Styela clava: one gene and its partner. The protein of the gene in region 2 purifies or fractionates together with the protein of the main gene of each other region. This does not show direct contact. Links are inferred from orthologs where the notes say so. Each region holds a gene or a part of one and is shown on either strand. Other genes may lie near its edges.

Region 1 (9,064 bases), on a different chromosome or scaffold from region 2:
TTCTTGCTTGAAGCTTAAAGTACATCATGTGTGGTTGCGGACATAATCAACAGATGATATTCATTACCTATTTGTGCTTAAAAAAAATTGAGATAAAATTTTATGATTCTGGCTAAACCAAAATTAGTTCGTGCATTGCGTTATCTTTAGAAATGGGAATTTGTTCAATAAAAATTGTATTAAAACAATTGTTTGAAATCAAGTTTTTTCAGTCATCAGTCATGGGATTCGAACGAGGCTCGGGTATACACCATTGGGAAGGTAGGCTACAGCCTAGAGGCCCTAACCTCGAGGGCCTTGACAATCAGAAGGAATAATGTCAGATATTTAATCAAGTTAATAATTTCAAATATTTATCGTTTAAAAAATTGAAATACGACCGATTAAATGAATCTGATTAACTTAAAAAAATCTATCCATTTAACCTTAAAAACAAAGTATTTCAATTTCAATATATATATATACTGATTCATATAAGCAACAAAGAATGTAAGCATTATTAGACACAATTTTTACTATGCCAGATCTCACTAAAAACAAGTATTATGATGTCGGATTTTCTGGTGCCATGACGTTTTGTATGTATGTATCTTGACCGTAGCTGAAATTTTGTTCCGAAAATTCCCGTATTACCGATTCCATTGTTCAGCATTGCCTAAAGTGCCACAAAATGGCGTCGTTAGCATATTGTTGGCGCCCATCTACCTATTTGGTTGAAGCATAGAAAATAAATTTTCCTTATTTATTAAATAAACCTAAATTATGGATAAAGGCCAAGCTAGCAAAAGACAACTTGAAGAAGGCAAAAGATTGGCATGTAAATGTCATTTCCTATTTTAAAAATAGCGAATTTCATTTTTCCGCTATTAAATTCGAGCGACTTTTGTGTGCCGTATTGTACGTTCAGCGACCCCGGAAAATCTTTAATAAACGAGTAGCGACCACGCCTGGGGTCGCGACCCACAGTTTGGAACCACTGCGTAAGATAAAGGTACGCCGTGCTGCCGTTAGTGCCGTACGTTACGGTACTGTATTCTGCTTCGCTTCGTTCATGTATTTGAGCATCGCTCTTTTATACTGTACCGTACCGTATGCAGGGTTGTCATATTGGCTTTTTTAACTCCAAATTTGCCATCTTTGGCTCTTTTCAAACACGTTTGGCGTCAGAATTTCCGTTTGGCTTTTTTTTGACTTTTTTAAGTCTATTCTCAGATTCTAGTGTCTATTTTTAAAATCATATTAAATACAATATTTAGTGCAGTAGTGTGTAACAATAGCCTATTGCTGTATTGCTTAGCTAGACTACTTAAAATTTGGATTTCCCCGAGCATCGATTTCCTTGTTTTTTACCTTAACGATTAACCAATAAGAAATAATTGCTGTTTCTGCAGACTCAGACAGATTCAAGTACAGAAGTAGGGTAGGGTTGTGAACATTCTGACATTGCCTCGTTTTTATAGTTTTGTGTGTTAGGCTATTTGTCAGTTTTTAGTTCTGTTTCCAAAAAATAGTTGTATAACTTAATTTTCAATATGTCATATGTAGGGCTTTAGTTTAGTTGCAGTAATCAGAATTGAGTTTCACCAGCGATGTGATTAATTACGCTAAAATTAACTACCTGTACAGCTGTAGGAGCTAAGAGGCACGTTTTTTAATGCTAAATTTGCCATTTTCAGATTTTTGGCTCTTCAAACACGTTTGGCGTCAGAATTTCTGTTTGACTTTTTTACGTCTATTCTCAAATTCTAGTGTCTACTGGTCTATTCTTAAAATCATATTAAATACAATATTTAGTGTGTAACAATAGCCTATTGCTGTATTGCTTAGCTAGACTACCGGTACTTAAAATTTGGATTTCCCGAGCATCAATTTCCTTGTTTATTACCTTAACGATTAAGAAATAATTGCAGTTTCTGCAGACGCTCAGACAGATTCCTGGATTCAAGTACAGAAATAGGATTGTGAACATTCTGACATAATTTTTTAATGAAATTAATGGTTTCAAAATTCAAAAAGTGAAAAATTTTTCTATAGTTAAGTACGGTATACAGCTATATAGGATAGCTAGGGAGAAATTTTTAAGGTAACGGTACCGGTATATCACAAGTTTAGGTAGAAACATGTGGGTACATATATCACATACTGCTGTACTGAAGCGACACCCTGTATTGTATAGGCTAGGCCATATTGCAGTATTGAATTGTAAAATATAGCTGTTCGCTTGATATTTCTTTTTATTTGGTTTTTTGATATTTTTTTTAACTTTTTCATATAGCCTAGATCTGTAGATCTCGACTGCAGTCTACTGCTGTACCGGTATTGTCTGATTGTGCCGAATGTAGATTCTGGTGCTGCCATTCAATTAATCTTTTTCACTTTTAAACACTTCGTCCAGCCGAAGTGGAAATCGCCATGATAGCAACCGAAAATACAACTTTAAATGGGAAAAGACATTTGTGCGGATCACTAAATGAACTGATGGCTCTACATCAGCATCGGTATTGTGCCAAGGGCTTCAAATCTGACAAATCATGGGGCTTTTGTACTTCTGTATTTAGTAAAAGTAAAATTTTTGGCTATTTCTGGCTATTTTATGTCTTGATTTGGCTTTTTTTGATCGCTGAAATCTGGCAACCCTGACTGTATGTTCCAAGATGGGTCCTCATTTAAAAAAGGTAATAGGATATGGCTTAGTCTACGTGTGTATTCTATGTTTTAATTGTGTTTATGAATGTATGAGTAGTAAACTGATTTACGTTATTAGCAAAAAAAAAGCTCGGTGGATCGTTTGGGTCTGACCCCCGCCTGCCAATCTACCATCGCACTTCTAATTACTGTATTCTGAATTACAGTACCCTGTGCAGGTTCGAATGCTGTGAAAAAATTTGTGTGAGAGGAGCTTTAGTACTAGGAACCAGGGGCGCAGCCAGGATTTTTCAACGGGGGGTTACGGTGAAATCAAAACAGTGCATCAAAAGGGCAGTTCACGATGATGTAATGCATTTATAAACTGAAAGGTATGCGTCGTTCACAGCGAAATTCGTTACGTGTGTAGCCCGCCTCTCTTTGCCTGGCGGTGTATGGTGCATATTTTGCAAGTCCTATTTCAAACATCGACCATTAATCCGTAGTCAGTGGGCAACTGTAGTTAGAAATAAAAACATTAAAAATCGCTAAAATTAATTTTAAAGAAATGTGAAACTATTACTTGAAATTTAATGTTAATGAAGGTAATTTTTATAGCCATTTAATGATTTTTTACATGTGCCATGGTCTTGATAGAGTGGCGTGCAAAATCGTACTTTCTAATCGGGTTATTCGATGATTTTAATGAACACCGAATAATGAGTATTGTCATTTTGAACAACATCATTGAGATGTCGGCTGCCAAAACGATCGTCGTGACAATAATTTTTTTTTTTTTGGGAATTTTTTCGGAAGACTGAAAAATCCAGTAACAATGTTTTATTTCCTAAATTTGTCATAATCGAAGGCTGCAGTAAATTTTTTGTCATTGCGATGTTGACGCGCTTTATGCAAAGTTAGGAATTGAAAAATATGATGGGCGTGAAAAAGGGAAGGAAGAAAACATTTCCACATTAATCGTTTCTACCTGTTAGAGATAGCCGTCGGTAAATTCTTACCCTCTAATAAATTCAATTTTTCTTTTCAATGCGCTGTGATTGATTTGAGTGATTGCGCCGGAAAAAGAGAGTCCTTAAATTAGTTGATCACCCTTCTCTCCTTTTGAGCGCCCATAACGGCGGTTAAATTCTTTTCATGTCTGTTTCGTGGAGAGGAGGGAAAATGTGCCTTACTGAATTGCAATCAACGATTACACCTTCTTATTTATCATTATCAGCGCCAATTCAAAGATAGCATGATGTAAAGACGAAAAAAGTCTGGTCTGTGATAACACACAGAATAATATCGTATGGCCGCAAAACCATGATGCGCAACCGTTAAATGGCGCTGTTGCTTTTTTGTAGAAAAAATTTCGCATCAAAAATTGTTTTCAAAGGGGGGGTTATGACCCTGCGAGACAGTCTGGGCCTCCATATCGGCAATCCGTTACTGAAGAATAAAGTAAAAGGAAGTGCAATCTGAAAACATCACCATTGGGTTCCTAGGGGGGAGAGAATAATTAGATTTACCAAAGGATTATATTTTTGACAGTTTTTAGCAAAGAAACGCAATTATGGTCTAATAACGGCCACGATTAATTCCGATTATTATCGAGACAAGCGTGGCTCGATCTGACGTATTGATCAGCCATCGTACCAGACGCAAACTGTGCCCTACTGTACTTCGTGATATTTAATGCTGTAATGATTCATCATATTATTAATGAAAATGAATCTTTGCTCTGACCGTCAGAAAAATACATATTCTTCGAAATTCAAGTCGCCGATTAAATCGTTACTGTCGTCCAAAATAGACACACATTTGGTCAGGTGTCGGGCTGTATGTTGGTCAACGATAATTTAAAAAAGTTTCCACATGTGGTAAAGACATTTCTCGGCCTGAACTATTGATGAACATTATGCAAAACGTATCGACAAGTCTGAGTAGATATATAACGATAACTGAAAATTAAAATTTTGCAATTAAAAATAATTTGTCTGTAGATGTTATTTTATGAGTCTTGCTCACAAAAAATAAACAGGCCGACATACTCGATTATAATTGATTGAGTCGTTGAGTTTATTTTACATTATTGATTAACGCGAGCCCTACCAGGCTCCGGTTGCGGTCACATAAATTGCAGTGGCCTATGTCTGGCCTGTGTTTTCCGCGCTCTCACATTGATAATAATTTGATATTTTTTCATACCTATATTTTGTATTTCACAATTTAGTATTGAAGTGTATAATGCACTAGGCTATATATTTTAATTAACATATACCGGTAAGTATTTAGGTATTACCTAAATTTTGAACAATTCAAGGCAAAAAATAATTTTTTAAATTCTTACATTTCATTGGCTTGTTTGGTAACAAATAAAATCCAATGCTCAGGATTTTTTCAATTAAATACAAAGGCAGTAATACATTCACAAGATTACTTTTTTTAAATTGTAATTCATCAATGTGGCGGAAGAATTCGCACATTTGAATAACAATAAAAACAGAATAGGGTTCGGTATTCGATTTAAGTATTCTAGAATAGTAAATTATTCTATATTGCCCATCCCTACTCTGGTGCAAGGAAAATTTACTTGATTTCATCACAAAGTTTTTTTTTACAATTTATCCTTTAGTTTTATTTATTGTAATGTAGTTAATTTTTAACTATGTCTTTGAGTCGAGTTTTTCGTGTGCTGCATAAGCTAGGACCACCGTACAGTGTGCTTTTGGAGTCTCGACAATTTGAAGATGGACTGTTACTAGAATCAGGAACAGTCGTATCTCTTACTCCGCAGGAGAAAGAAGAACTTAAGTCGGATTATACAAAGGCAATTGATGCATATGGATGTCTTGGAGTTATGATGTTTGGAGATGACAAAGCTGGTAAAGCCCGCAGCTTATACCTGGTGCTTGTGACTGCTTGTATGCCAGTTGGAAAGTTACTCAACTGCGAAGTATTCCGCATTACTGGAGCAAGTTTTTTTTCTTTGCAAAATGGTACTGTAGATGCAGATAGCAGGTGCACAGATGTTAAAAAGTTACTCAGCTCTGGAAAATTTTATTTTACTTGGTCTGCAATGAATGGGAGTGAAATTTTGGATTTGACTGTTTCATTCCAGGATCAAGACAAGAAGAATGATGACCAACGTTTCTTTTGGAATCACCTTTTGCACCTGCATTTCAAACATTTTGGTGCTGATTGCGCCTTGTGGCTCTTCAGAGTTATGTGTGGAGGAATTGACATACGAACTGTTTATGTAGGTGCTCAACAAGCCAGAGCTGTGGTTATATCACGTTTGAGTTGCGAACGTGCTGGCACAAGATTCAATGTTCGAGGTGCGGACGATGAGGGTCATGTTGCAAACTTTGTAGAAAGTGAACAAGCAATCATACTTGGTGAAAATGTTTCTTCATTCATGCAAATTCGTGGCTCTATTCCATTGTTTTGGGGGCAACCAGGCCTGAATGTAGGATCCCATAAAATCAAGATTTCTAGAGGATTTGAAGCATCTGCGCCCACATATGATAGACATTTTTCAAGCATTGTGGATAATTATGGGCAGTGTCTCATAGTTAATTTACTTGGTAGTAAAGGGGACGAGAGCATGTTGAGTAGGCTTTTCCAACTACACCATGAAAAGTCTGCTTTCAGTGAAGAAGTAACAATGTTTTGTTTCGATTATCATTGTGAATGTAGAGGAAAATCTGAAAATTTATCCAAATTGAAAACAAAGATATGGGACAAACTGGAGAGTTATGGATGTTATACCTATAAAGATGATGAAAAGTTACGCATCACTCAAACTGGTGTCATTAGGATTAATTGCCTTGATTGCTTGGATCGTACAAATAGTACAAAAACGTATTTTGGAATGCAGATGTTACCAAAGCAACTGGAAAGTTTGGGACTTGGAAATAATAAGCAACTTGAAGATAGATTCAGAGAGGCTTTCAAAACGGCTTGGCCCATTACTGGTGATCTAATCAGTCGAATGTATGCTGGTACTGGAGCCTTAGAAGGTAAAACAAAATTTAAAGATGGTGCAAGATCGGTGACACGTGCAATACAAAACAATTTTCTTGACCAGAGTAAACAAGGTGCAATTGATTTACTCATACTTGGTACCAACTCAGCAGATATTGAACTGATGGCAAGGGCAAACAATTTAATGTCTGGTGATTGCTTGCGTGCTCCCACAGCGGTTTTGAGAGGCATGTGTGATAAATTCAAAGATTACACATCTATCTTGCCAATTAGAGTTGCCATCGGAACCTGGAACGTAAATGGTGGAAAGCATTTCCGATCACTGGCATATAAAGATCAAACATTAGATGACTGGCTCATCAAATGCGAACAGTCACCAACCAATAATTTTTACAAGGCCTTGTATGATTTTTCCTCTGCCGAAGAAGGTGATTTGTCATTCGCATCAGGTGATATCATTGATGTGCATCATGCCTTGGAGGATGGGGAATGGATGTCAGGTTCCTGCAATGGATGTAATGGAATATTTCCTGCAGCTTATGTCACCAAATTGCTACCAAGATATACTGCTTTGTACGACTTTCCAGCTCATCAGGAAGGCGATCTCGATTTTGTTGCTGGCGACACAATTGAGGTGACTGAAATGACAGGTGAATGGTGGAAGGGAAGGGTTTCAAGAGATGAATACAATCCTGATGAATTGGAAGGAACTTTCCCAGCTAGCTATGTTGAAATATTCAAAGATAGTTTGTCAAGTGACTCCTTTAGCAATCTTGCAGACAATAATGATGCTGAGGTTGACTGGAATAAAGCAATGGACTTTTATGTTATTGGATTTCAAGAGATGGTTGAACTCAGTGCTGGGAACATTGTAAATACAAGCCATACTAATCAACATACCTGGGGAATAGAATTGCAGAAGACAATATCTAACAAGTACAAGTATGTCCTTCTTGCTTCAGAACAGCTTGTTGGTGTGTGCTTTTATGTGTTTGTTCGTCCGCATCATACACCTCATATTAGAGATGTTGAAATTGGAACTGTAAAAACTGGATTGGGGGGTGCAACTGGAAACAAAGGAGGAATTGGTATACGAATGCAGTTTCATAACTCATCTTTGTGTTTTGTATGCTCTCATCTAGCTGCTGGACAAGGACAAGTACAGGATCGAAATAATGATTTTGCTGAAATATCCAAGAAGATGGTTTTCTCTGGAAATAAATCTATCTATTGTCATGATTATATTTTCTGGTGTGGAGATCTGAACTATCGGATAGATATGCCAATTGATGAGGTTAAACAATTAGTTGTTGAAAAGGATTGGAAATCTTTGCAAAGCAATGACCAACTCTGTACAGAAAAGAAAGAGGGAAGAGTGTTCCAGTGTTTTTTAGAAGGAGATACTAACTTTGCACCAACCTATAAGTATGATTTGTTTTCCGATGACTATGATACTAGTGAAAAATCCAGGACACCAGCTTGGACTGATCGTGTGTTGTGGTTTCGAAGAAAATGGTTTGCGGACACTCAAGATTCTGGCTCATCGTTAGTTTCAGTAAGTCAAGATCCAGAATGGAATCCTGGAAAATTGCTGTATTATAATAAAGCTGATATTAAAACTTCTGATCATCGTCCCGTTATAGCGATACTTGATGTCGATATTATACAGTCTGATGAAGAACATCTCAATACAACATTTCATAAATTTGTAGAAGCCCAAGGTCCTCCAGATGCAACTATCTTGATATCATTAACCCAAGAAGAAAATACTGGTGACATTCCACTGTCTGGTGAACTATTTGAAGCAATCATGTCAAGGCTGAACGAAATTGGTGAAGTTATCATCACCCGACACTTCAAGGGGAAACTGATGGTTATTTTCAGTGATGGTACAGCAGCAGTTAGAGCCACAGACTTGAATGAAACTTCTGTTGATGGAACATTGATTTATGTCACATTAAAAAGTAGAGGTTGGGAGGAAGATGTTGAACATGAACTTCGACAACATTCACATTCATTTTCTGCTAATGAATCATATGCTGAAAAATATGCAAACGAGGGGGAACCGTGTCAATATAATTATGATGTGTACCATAATGATGCGGAACATGAAGAAGACAGTTCTGAATCACCAAGGTATGAATATAATACATATCATCAAACAAGTACGCAATTATATGATATTCCTGTTTCGGAAGCCACTGATACAATTAATGAATCAAACAAGGAGGTCATGGAAGATGTAAATGACCCTGGGTGGGCTTTTGAAAGCGAACATTATTCTTACAGCTACATGCCACCAAATCCAGAGTTAACCAAGAAAGTATCAGCACCACCCCGACCTTCTAGTGGACCAGTAAAGAAGCGTGCTCCACCAAGACCAAACACCCTACCAACTATGCCATCAGGACCTCCACCCCTTCCATCGCAATCTCCATCAATAATGCCAGGA
Region 2 (9,039 bases):
GTTTGTTGTTTTTAAATCAGTAATTGTTCAAGTATTTTTACCTTATTTAATACATATGTAAGGATCAAAACTATATATGGTATCGATGAATTCCCTTTGCAATTTTAAGACTATTTGGACACCCCATATATTGTATGTATCAATCCCATTATTCTTTTCAAATTGTTAGAAATAAAATGTTTCTATTCCACAATTGATAGAATGATCATAATATTAACGGGTTATAGTTTCAAAATGATCAAATTTGTTGATTCAAAATTTGAAAAATATCAAAATCATACAGATACAGGCCTATCAAGCCAATCCTTTACTCACTATTACATTGCATTTGTCAAATGCTAATTCATAAGTTTAACATAAATACAATAGCAGTGGCTAAAAATGAATAAATATATTGGCAATTGGATGACTATATATATTAAATATATATTTGCAAACTCGAAGCGAAAACGACCGACTCATATTATCACAATAGAATCATAACCAGAATAAGGAAATTGATATTGCTGGTGAATGACAAGCATCATGTCAACTTCTATTCAGTACAAAGTAAAGTAGCATTGATCAGTATTGCAATATGGAGTCATTAAAATTGCATGAGGAAGCCTGATTTGGATGACCATTCACTCAAGTAGAAACTAGAAAGTCTGATGTTATTATACATAAAATAAGTTACTTGAGACAAGTAACAAAGCTCACATGGGTTTGGAGTGGTGCAGTTTTATATATATGTGTATGACCAGTCCATAGTACATTTTGCATAAACTGATGATTGAGTGCAACTCAATGATTTAAATCAAGATTATATTTTATTATGATTAAGCGATTATAATTGAATTTCAATCAATTGATTTTCATCGTCTTACCTGTAATACTGCATGTGATTAATTTCTGCTTGAACGGCATATGAAAGAGTTTCAGCTCGTAATTTAGCATTTTCAACATCATCCTCTGTGTATTTTCCTTCTAGCTGAAGACGCATCATTTCTCGTTGCTTGTCTATCGCACTCTTATTATTGCCAAGGATAGTTGGGAAACACGCCATGATTCCTAAATTGTGAAAACACAGAACAAATTGTTAGTTGTAGTTACTAAGTGGACCGAGCTAAGTCTTAGAAACATGATTGCCATTGCACCTTTAATTATCCTGAAAGGGCCCCGCAGGTACAAACCCCATAGGTGACAATTATATGTGTCATAAAAACTAAAAAATGCTCCATATTTCACCAACCATCAACTATTATATGATGCATATATCGCAGGTACCACAATCCACATTCTTTATATTACCAAATTCTTTGTATTAAATACAGTATTTTAGAAGAGTGAATCATTATTTATAACTCATTTTCGAGCAATGGGGTATTTGTGAAGTACAATTATTCGGTACTGCCCATTAGAACCTACATCAATGCATAGAAAATCTTCAGTAAATATTTTCTACCTTTATATTCATTGAGACCATCCAATAATGGATTCCAATCCTGTTTTGGTTGCTCTTGATACATCAACCCAATGTCCTCATAAGTTTTACCTGGAAGAATAGATTTAATTCAGCAATTTAATATACATAACTCTAATAAAACAATTCCAGTATCAGAAAAGGGCAGCCCGATCATGAACTATGACAAGCACAATAATATTGCCGAATATATGGATACAGACTTATTCATTTGAGTGTACAAACTTTGGTTAAAAAAATTGCAATCTGGGTGTTATGGTATACATATGACTTATATTGTCTCAGATTGCAAAGATCAGAATTAATCTGATTTCAGTTTTCCTGAATGGATTTGAAGGTTCATTTGAGCTACACTATTCCCATCAGTCACATTTAATTAGTTAGGCTACTTAATAAACTTTTATCAATATAATATAAATACACATATCCTCTTAATACATTTATTAATTACTATACTTTATACATAAATATGATAGTATAATTCATAATTATACCTGTATGCTTTATTGCCTCTGTTAATGGTGCTGCATTTTGTCGCTTATCCATAGCAAATGAATCTCCTAATGCTCCGAAACACTGTCCCATTTTCTGGTATTCTTGCATTAACGGACCTTGACATTTTCTTGAATAAGCAGCACCATGAGCAACAATTTGCTTTAATGATTCATCCATTGCCCTTGTAAACTGTGAATAGTATTGTAAAGTTTGCTCAGCAGTGGATAATTCCATTCTATTCTCAGTGACAGGTACAATAGTTGTACAAAACGCTCCGCCAACAGCTGGGTCACTTTCAGCTTTTCGTTTTCCTTCCTTCCATGCCTTTTCTGAATCTTTTGAAACAAGAAAGTGTTGAAATACTTCTGACTGGGATATGACTGGATGCAAAGACATTCTAGAAAGCCATCCTTGCAACTGGTGCATTCGTCCTTCTATGAATTCATCTTCATATCTCCCAGTAAGTTGCTTGTCTGGCAATGGAGGAACGGCAATAGTTACATTGAATTTCTTCACAAGCTGTTCCAACAACCAATCAAAGTGTTTGTAACGCCTCGATACAGTCTTCCCTGAATGGCTAGGTGTGATATTATACGTAATATAACTTTTGAACCCAGAAAACTTGCTCGCTTTTTGGGGATCAGATATAGTGCACGTGAAATGTTGCTGAGCAGTATTATCCCACATTGGACCATCCTCTGTTAAAACCATATGAATCTTAGGTTTAGATGATGTATCTGCTTTTATGTCACCCAATATAAAAGATTCAGCCGGAGTAACACTGAAAGCTGAAAAAATGTTTCCGGTGAGACTGCTGAATAATCCTGTATTTTTTGCATTCTTCTTGGGTGAGTCGCTCTCTGATGATTTTTTAGTTGATCCCTCTCGAGCAGGTGATGAGGCTATTGGTACAGGTTGAGAGGTAGCTGTTGGCGCTTGGGCTGAGTAGTTTTGAACACCCCATGACGCTTCCCACTCATCATCATCCCCACCATCATAAACTTCCTCGTGTTGTTGTTGATTATCTCCATTGTATGATGTAGTTTCTTGTGGTTCGGGTGGAGCATAGGATTCATCATATTCTGCATCACCAACAGCACCATTGTCTTGCACCAATTCACAATACGCAGAAGGAAAAAGACCTACTGTTCCATCAGAAGCTTGACCCTCCCACCATCCTTCACCTACATCTGGATTGGTCAATGTCACAATATCTCCTTCACGAAGAGCCAGCTCGTGATTATCAACAATTCCATCAAACTCATACAATACTGTAACTTTATCTCCCACCTGAGCCATACTGATTTTACAAAGATTGCTACTTATTTATAGATGTTATTTAAAAAATAAACCTATTTCTATGATGCAACACAATATATAAGTAAAAGTGCTCTCACTTCTCTTTACAGTTTTAACACATATGGACATAGCTAATACATGGCATGAAAAAATTTAAGTTTTCATAGCACAAATTTTAACCAAACTATCAACCTTGGATAGCCCAAAAAGTGTGACTAGGCATAAACTAGACTGAAGAGAAGATCTAACTTAAAACCATAGAGTAAAAAAACCACAACCACAACATTCAATTTTAAATATCATTACACTGTTACAATTGTACAACCAGTGAATGCCATAGTAATTTTCACGACTGAAATCAAGGCCGATATATTTAATAGAAAACAGGATAAGCCAGTTAAACTGACTCGACGGTGCGGCGCATTGTGATAAGCGTTAGGATTAAGCTTGCCACATCATTTCTGATTACCCTGCATGGCTTCACAGGTACGAATCCTGTAGGGTATAATTATGTGCGAGAGGATTGCTGGACTCATCATAGCCGTAGGGTGATTCACGTAACCAATGGTCACCATCAAGTCCATGCAACTGACAACAAAGAAATAACTGGCTAACTAATCCCATACTGACATGCCCGACATGGACTCGTATCCGGACGAGATGCTGTGGTGTGCCATACTTCCATATGACAGTATGATCAAGCTGTATTATCGGCTTTCCCATTCCCTGGAATTTCTCCTTCTATCTAAGTGTGATAATGACAATCCCAATAGTAATCAAGCATATTGTTCTAAGAATTTAAATATACAGATATAGTTCCAGTAACAATAGACTGTTAGAAAAGAGATTTGCATAATACAGGTAGACGGGTCTTGTGTGGTTTCTTACCACAATAACTTTTAGTGTAGCATATGCAGTATATGATGTGATTATGAGTTGTGACAACGTAGTGACATAATTTTCGGATGACTTAGTCAGGTGGGGGTTAGGAATAACACAAGCAAAAAAGGTTTTATGCCCAGCCCACTAGACTAATATTGTTACTTTTGTAAGTTTGTTTAACAATTATTATTCTCACACAAATTTTGCTTTTTCCAGGGGCATGCTTGTCAGCTTGGAAAATTCCAGTGATTAATAACCACATTCTGACATTCAATATTGCGATGATACAACTCAGCAATACCTGAATACTGCACTAACCTGATACAGTGATAAGTAAACATTATCAAACCATTGTCTGTTGGTCAGTCCTGGTCTATTGTGATCTTCTGCTATTTCTGTATTCTGATACCTGTAGGCCTATATCATTCTTCGACTTATACAGGATTGCGTGTGAGATCTCATACTTTCATCTCTGCATTGAGGCATTTGTTCGCCTGCTACTGCTACACCACCAATTGCCGCTAAATTAATTTCGGATATTACTTCAATTCATGATAGTTACGGCTGACTTGATTTGTGAAAATGAAATCTACTGATATTTCTTCTCTGACAGTTCATCCGACATCGGTCGCGTCATGAGAACATTTGCAGAACTGCGATTCCAGGCGCCCACCAACTTGCTCAAAACTGCAGAAACTAGTTCTGTTGCAAGCAGGGGTGGTTATCCGGATAATGCTGATCGGTTGAACTGGATTTTTTATTACCTTTTGAAACAACAACAAGGAATGGAAAAATACAAAGAATACCAACAACAACATAATAACAAAACGTACGTTCCGTATCCAATAAATAGAAGTAAGGTTAGCAAAATGCGATAACAGCTGTAAAAATATTCCGCTGAAAATTCAACTGGAAATTTTGTAGACTCTTCCTTACGAAACTTCGGCTGTGTTACGACATTTCAACGTAATTATTTGATCAGTTCATCATCAATCGATCAGTTCAATCAATTGTAATCGATGTTCTAACTATCCGGTTAACGGGTTAACTGACCAGATAAAATACAAATATACGAATACATATATCAGTTATCCTAATTTTATTTATAGTTAAAGTTTATTTTTGCGCAAACATAAAGTTAAAACAGGCAAATGGGGAGACACCTGGAACTCGTCCAACACCTGTAATCAATTCAAAACGTAATATGCCTAATGTGCAGTTCAGCGTTCGTCAAAATTAGATAGACTTGTCCAAAAATCAATAGATATGTAAATCCTATCGTATCCAGATCCCTAGTCACAAGTCAAATCTAGTCACTACCGTTTCTGATTATACTAGATTTTATAAACAATCGTGAAATGTATAAAAAGGAGTATATACTACTACGGTTAAGCCAATCTTATTTTGAAAATCATAAGTAGTTACGTTGGCATCAATAAGGCCTATTCCAAGTGGGGTTGGGATTCTGGGGGAGAATTGAAAATTTCAAGATCACAATTTTCTGGGATTAAACAAATTTGAAAAAAGTAGGCTACTAACATAAGCTGAAAATTTGATAAGTACACACATTTATTTCCTGTCAGAAGGATGTTTCTCCAACCCTTGACCTCATAAATATTTTTCGATTCTTATTTTGTAAGATTGCGCTCACAAACCAGTTTGAATTTTCATAAAAATAATTTTGTTTCAAACTATTTAGCCATCCGCTATTCGAAATGATAGCTGACGGCTAGTCTATTGAAAAAATTTTTGGATTTACGTTTAGTTAACTGCAATTAAACTGAAACTCCACGAAAGACCAAAATGACCATTGAGTTATTTTATTTATACCCAAGTTTTGGAATCACAATTAAAAAATGACAAATAAATAGCAAAAACCACGAAAACGATGTAAGCCTATATCGCCATGCCTGAAATTCTGTCTTTGTGAGTAGTCTCTGAGCGGATTTCTAATGTTACAGAAGTAAACAAGAAAGCCGGTGACATCGTATCCTTATATAAAAGTTGTTTGGACTCGTCATTATAATCGGAAAAACTTTGGATGAAAGAAAAGTGATTTTATTAAAATTAAAAAATAATATTTTTGAATTTATTTTCAAAAAATCATTAGCAGACACTATTACACATATATATCTTAAAACAAACGCTGCTATTTTACTGCTGGGTAAATATATTATTTTAATTTAAGTATCCGTATTTATTCAAATTACTTATTCGTGTTTACAAGCAAATTCAAATATAATAAAATTTTAGTATTGACCACAATTGATTTAAGTTCAATGTCTAAATCTTAGTATATATTGATCCGACGAGCTAAATATTACAACACAAATTGTAATTACGAGTTCAATCGTATATCATCGTATATGATAAAATGGATCAAAAAAATATGCGTAAAATGGAATATATATATATATGTGAAACAAAATATAGAAAAATAACCGAAAAAACATTAGTAATCCGGAGGTATCAAAAAGTTGTCAGTTTTCCGTAGGATGATCCCATCTTATCATGGTATGATATAAAGACACATTTGCGGCACTCATTACTGTCGTATATGTTGTTTCTGAGTTAAATACCGGAGGTGTCGACATAACCTGAAAAATACACATTTTGCCGAACAAGCGTATATATCAGACACGTTCTTACCATAAAATAAATCGATAACAAAATAATATTGATTTAATTGACTAAAACAGACCTTATAAAGATTATCAGGATTCATTTTATCTTGTCCAAATTCACTCATGGATTTTACTGCAGCATCTCTCCTGTGATCTGTTGAAGGTGGCGTCTTCCAAGGGTCGTAGTTTGTTTCAACAACAAACCATCTGTGATAATAGTGATAATTAGACTGGCAGCGACAAAGTTTACTAAATTCTAGATGATCAGAATAAAATTCGCTTTAAATAAAAAGCAAATACATTAATTAGGATATATATTATCGTTAAGTCCAGTGGCCCCAGAAGGTGAGTTTCCAAATAAAATTGCAAATAAAAAATGTATCAGCTTTCTTACACTCACTTATGAGAAGTATCTATCATCCTCGTAACATTGACTGCTCCCCATCGATCCCGAACTACTATGGCCCCTTCTTGTGGTTTCAGTCCACCCACTATGAAATAAATCGGTGCAATGGTCTTTGCGTTTTGTAGCATGTCTATTGCAGATTCATAGTTATCAGCCTTTGTAACGACCTATGAAATCAGTATATATTTCGTTGTAATTTAATCACCAAAGGAGAAAATTCCCTACTAAATATGGAAAAAAGTGATTGCTATTACAGGACCTTTTATATATTTGTGAATCAATGTCAATAAATTGCATCAAATCGTTTTTTGCAATAGAACATACTTCTCTTGCCATCAGCATTGTGGGCCATGATTTTTCCAAGGCGGCCAAAATATTCTCCCATAGAAACCCAGTGTTACGCTGATCTCCAGACAGGGAAAATTTGTTTGGCTTTGCTGCCGTCAACAACCCGACATAGCCAACGTATGTTGTTCCAATAAATACAGTCTGCGAAACAACTTACAGTAAATGTTTGCTATGCCTATGAATTAAAAGTACTGTTAAAAAATTTGCAAAGTTACAGCAGTTTTAAGCATAGCCAATAGTTTAATGAACAACTCTTAATTTATTTGTGTATTTTGTGTAGTTAGTGGGAAGCACTTAATTCACAAACCGCCGCTGTAAGATATTGTAAAAAAATATCACGGAGGAAAATATATGATGGGAAGCAGGTTTGAGTATATACATATGTTTTGAGTAGTGTTTGCAACTGTCTTATGTTGTTCACAGGTGTTTACATAATAAGGTCGCAATAAAGGTCATGCTACAGTAAGTATTACAATATTTCAATAATTAAAGTGATGACACAAGTGAAACAATCTAATTGTATGCATTGGTGATAAAGGAAGTTTCATTAAACCAAGCTCAAATCTTGGTGCGTAACATGCAGTATAAATATCCATATTTCAACATAAATCATTAAATATGAAAATGTTTGGTTTTAGCATAATATTTCTTTAGTGCAGGGTAAAGATTTATGCCATCATCATATTTACATTTTAAATATTTTTTTTATTTACACTTTCAGAAATATAAGACAAAGATGGCAAATGAATAAAACTATAAATTTGAGTTGGGTTGCGCGAGACTAACTTCCTATCTTTTCTCTATGCCTTTATGCTAGTGGATCCGTATGCGTATACTGCAAGGATAACGTAGCTGGAATAAATATGACTATTCTATTCAATTAAAGAGTCCAGCTGCACACTAACACAAATGTATTTCTGTAACGTTTCGTCCGACCAGAGTCAGACTTCCTCAGACAAGCAGTTTACAACAATGGCTCTGTTGGCTGTTGGCTTGTCTGAGGAAGTCTGACTCTGGTCGGACGAAACGTTACAGAAATACATTTGTGTTAGTATGCAGCTGGACTCTTTAATTGAATAGAAGAAAAATACTATGATTGTTTTTCCAGAATATGAACAATAGAAAATAATCGATGGTTGTAATTTCTATTTTAACCTGAATTTTTTTAGATTTAATTGATACAATATTAAAAAATCAACCAACTTCTCCACTTTTGTGAAATTCTATCTCGGCAGTTATCTTCCGCAATTCATCTCCAAGTACGTAGTCAAGATTTCTCGCGTGAATTAGCCCACCATTTTCATCAACTGTGACAATGCTTGTACAAGCTCGACCCCTACATTGAAAAATATCGTGCTTTAATAAATTGTAAACAGCTAATATCAAGCAAAAATATTTACGACTTAATCTTACTTGAAACGATTTGAATTCCATGCTGATAGGTCATAAGCTAGGTTTTCTAGTACGAGGTCGCCCAATTTCATGTTGTAAAAGTTACTGATTCCTCGTATTTCATCGCCATA

What was found. The genes of interacting proteins can lie anywhere in the genome.
Region 1: the proteins of sorting nexin-9-like (region 2) and synaptojanin-1-like purify together in Homo sapiens (co-immunoprecipitation; 3 studies listed by BioGRID and IntAct, counting the BioPlex papers as one, with this or other methods). This does not show direct contact. The link is inferred for Styela clava from reciprocal best matches to the Homo sapiens genes SNX9 and SYNJ1.

The regions. Positions count from the first base shown.
Region 1 is NC_135258.1:23,400,402-23,409,465, reverse strand, and holds the start of synaptojanin-1-like, read left to right. Parts: upstream 1-5,240; 5' UTR 5,241-5,293; coding exon 5,294-9,064. UniProt on the Homo sapiens protein: Phosphatase that acts on various phosphoinositides, including phosphatidylinositol 4-phosphate, phosphatidylinositol (4,5)-bisphosphate and phosphatidylinositol (3,4,5)-trisphosphate. Has a role in clathrin-mediated endocytosis.
Region 2 is NC_135252.1:5,731,274-5,740,312, forward strand, and holds the start of sorting nexin-9-like, read right to left. Parts: upstream 3,336-9,039; 5' UTR 3,257-3,335; coding exon 1,957-3,256; intron 1,535-1,956; coding exon 1,445-1,534; intron 1,051-1,444; coding exon 867-1,050; intron 1-866. Other genes in the region: N-acylethanolamine-hydrolyzing acid amidase-like, read right to left, coding at 6,619-6,735, 6,840-6,969, 7,163-7,335, 7,493-7,657, 8,720-8,852, 8,930-9,039. UniProt on the Homo sapiens protein: Involved in endocytosis and intracellular vesicle trafficking, both during interphase and at the end of mitosis. Required for efficient progress through mitosis and cytokinesis. Required for normal formation of the cleavage furrow at the end of mitosis.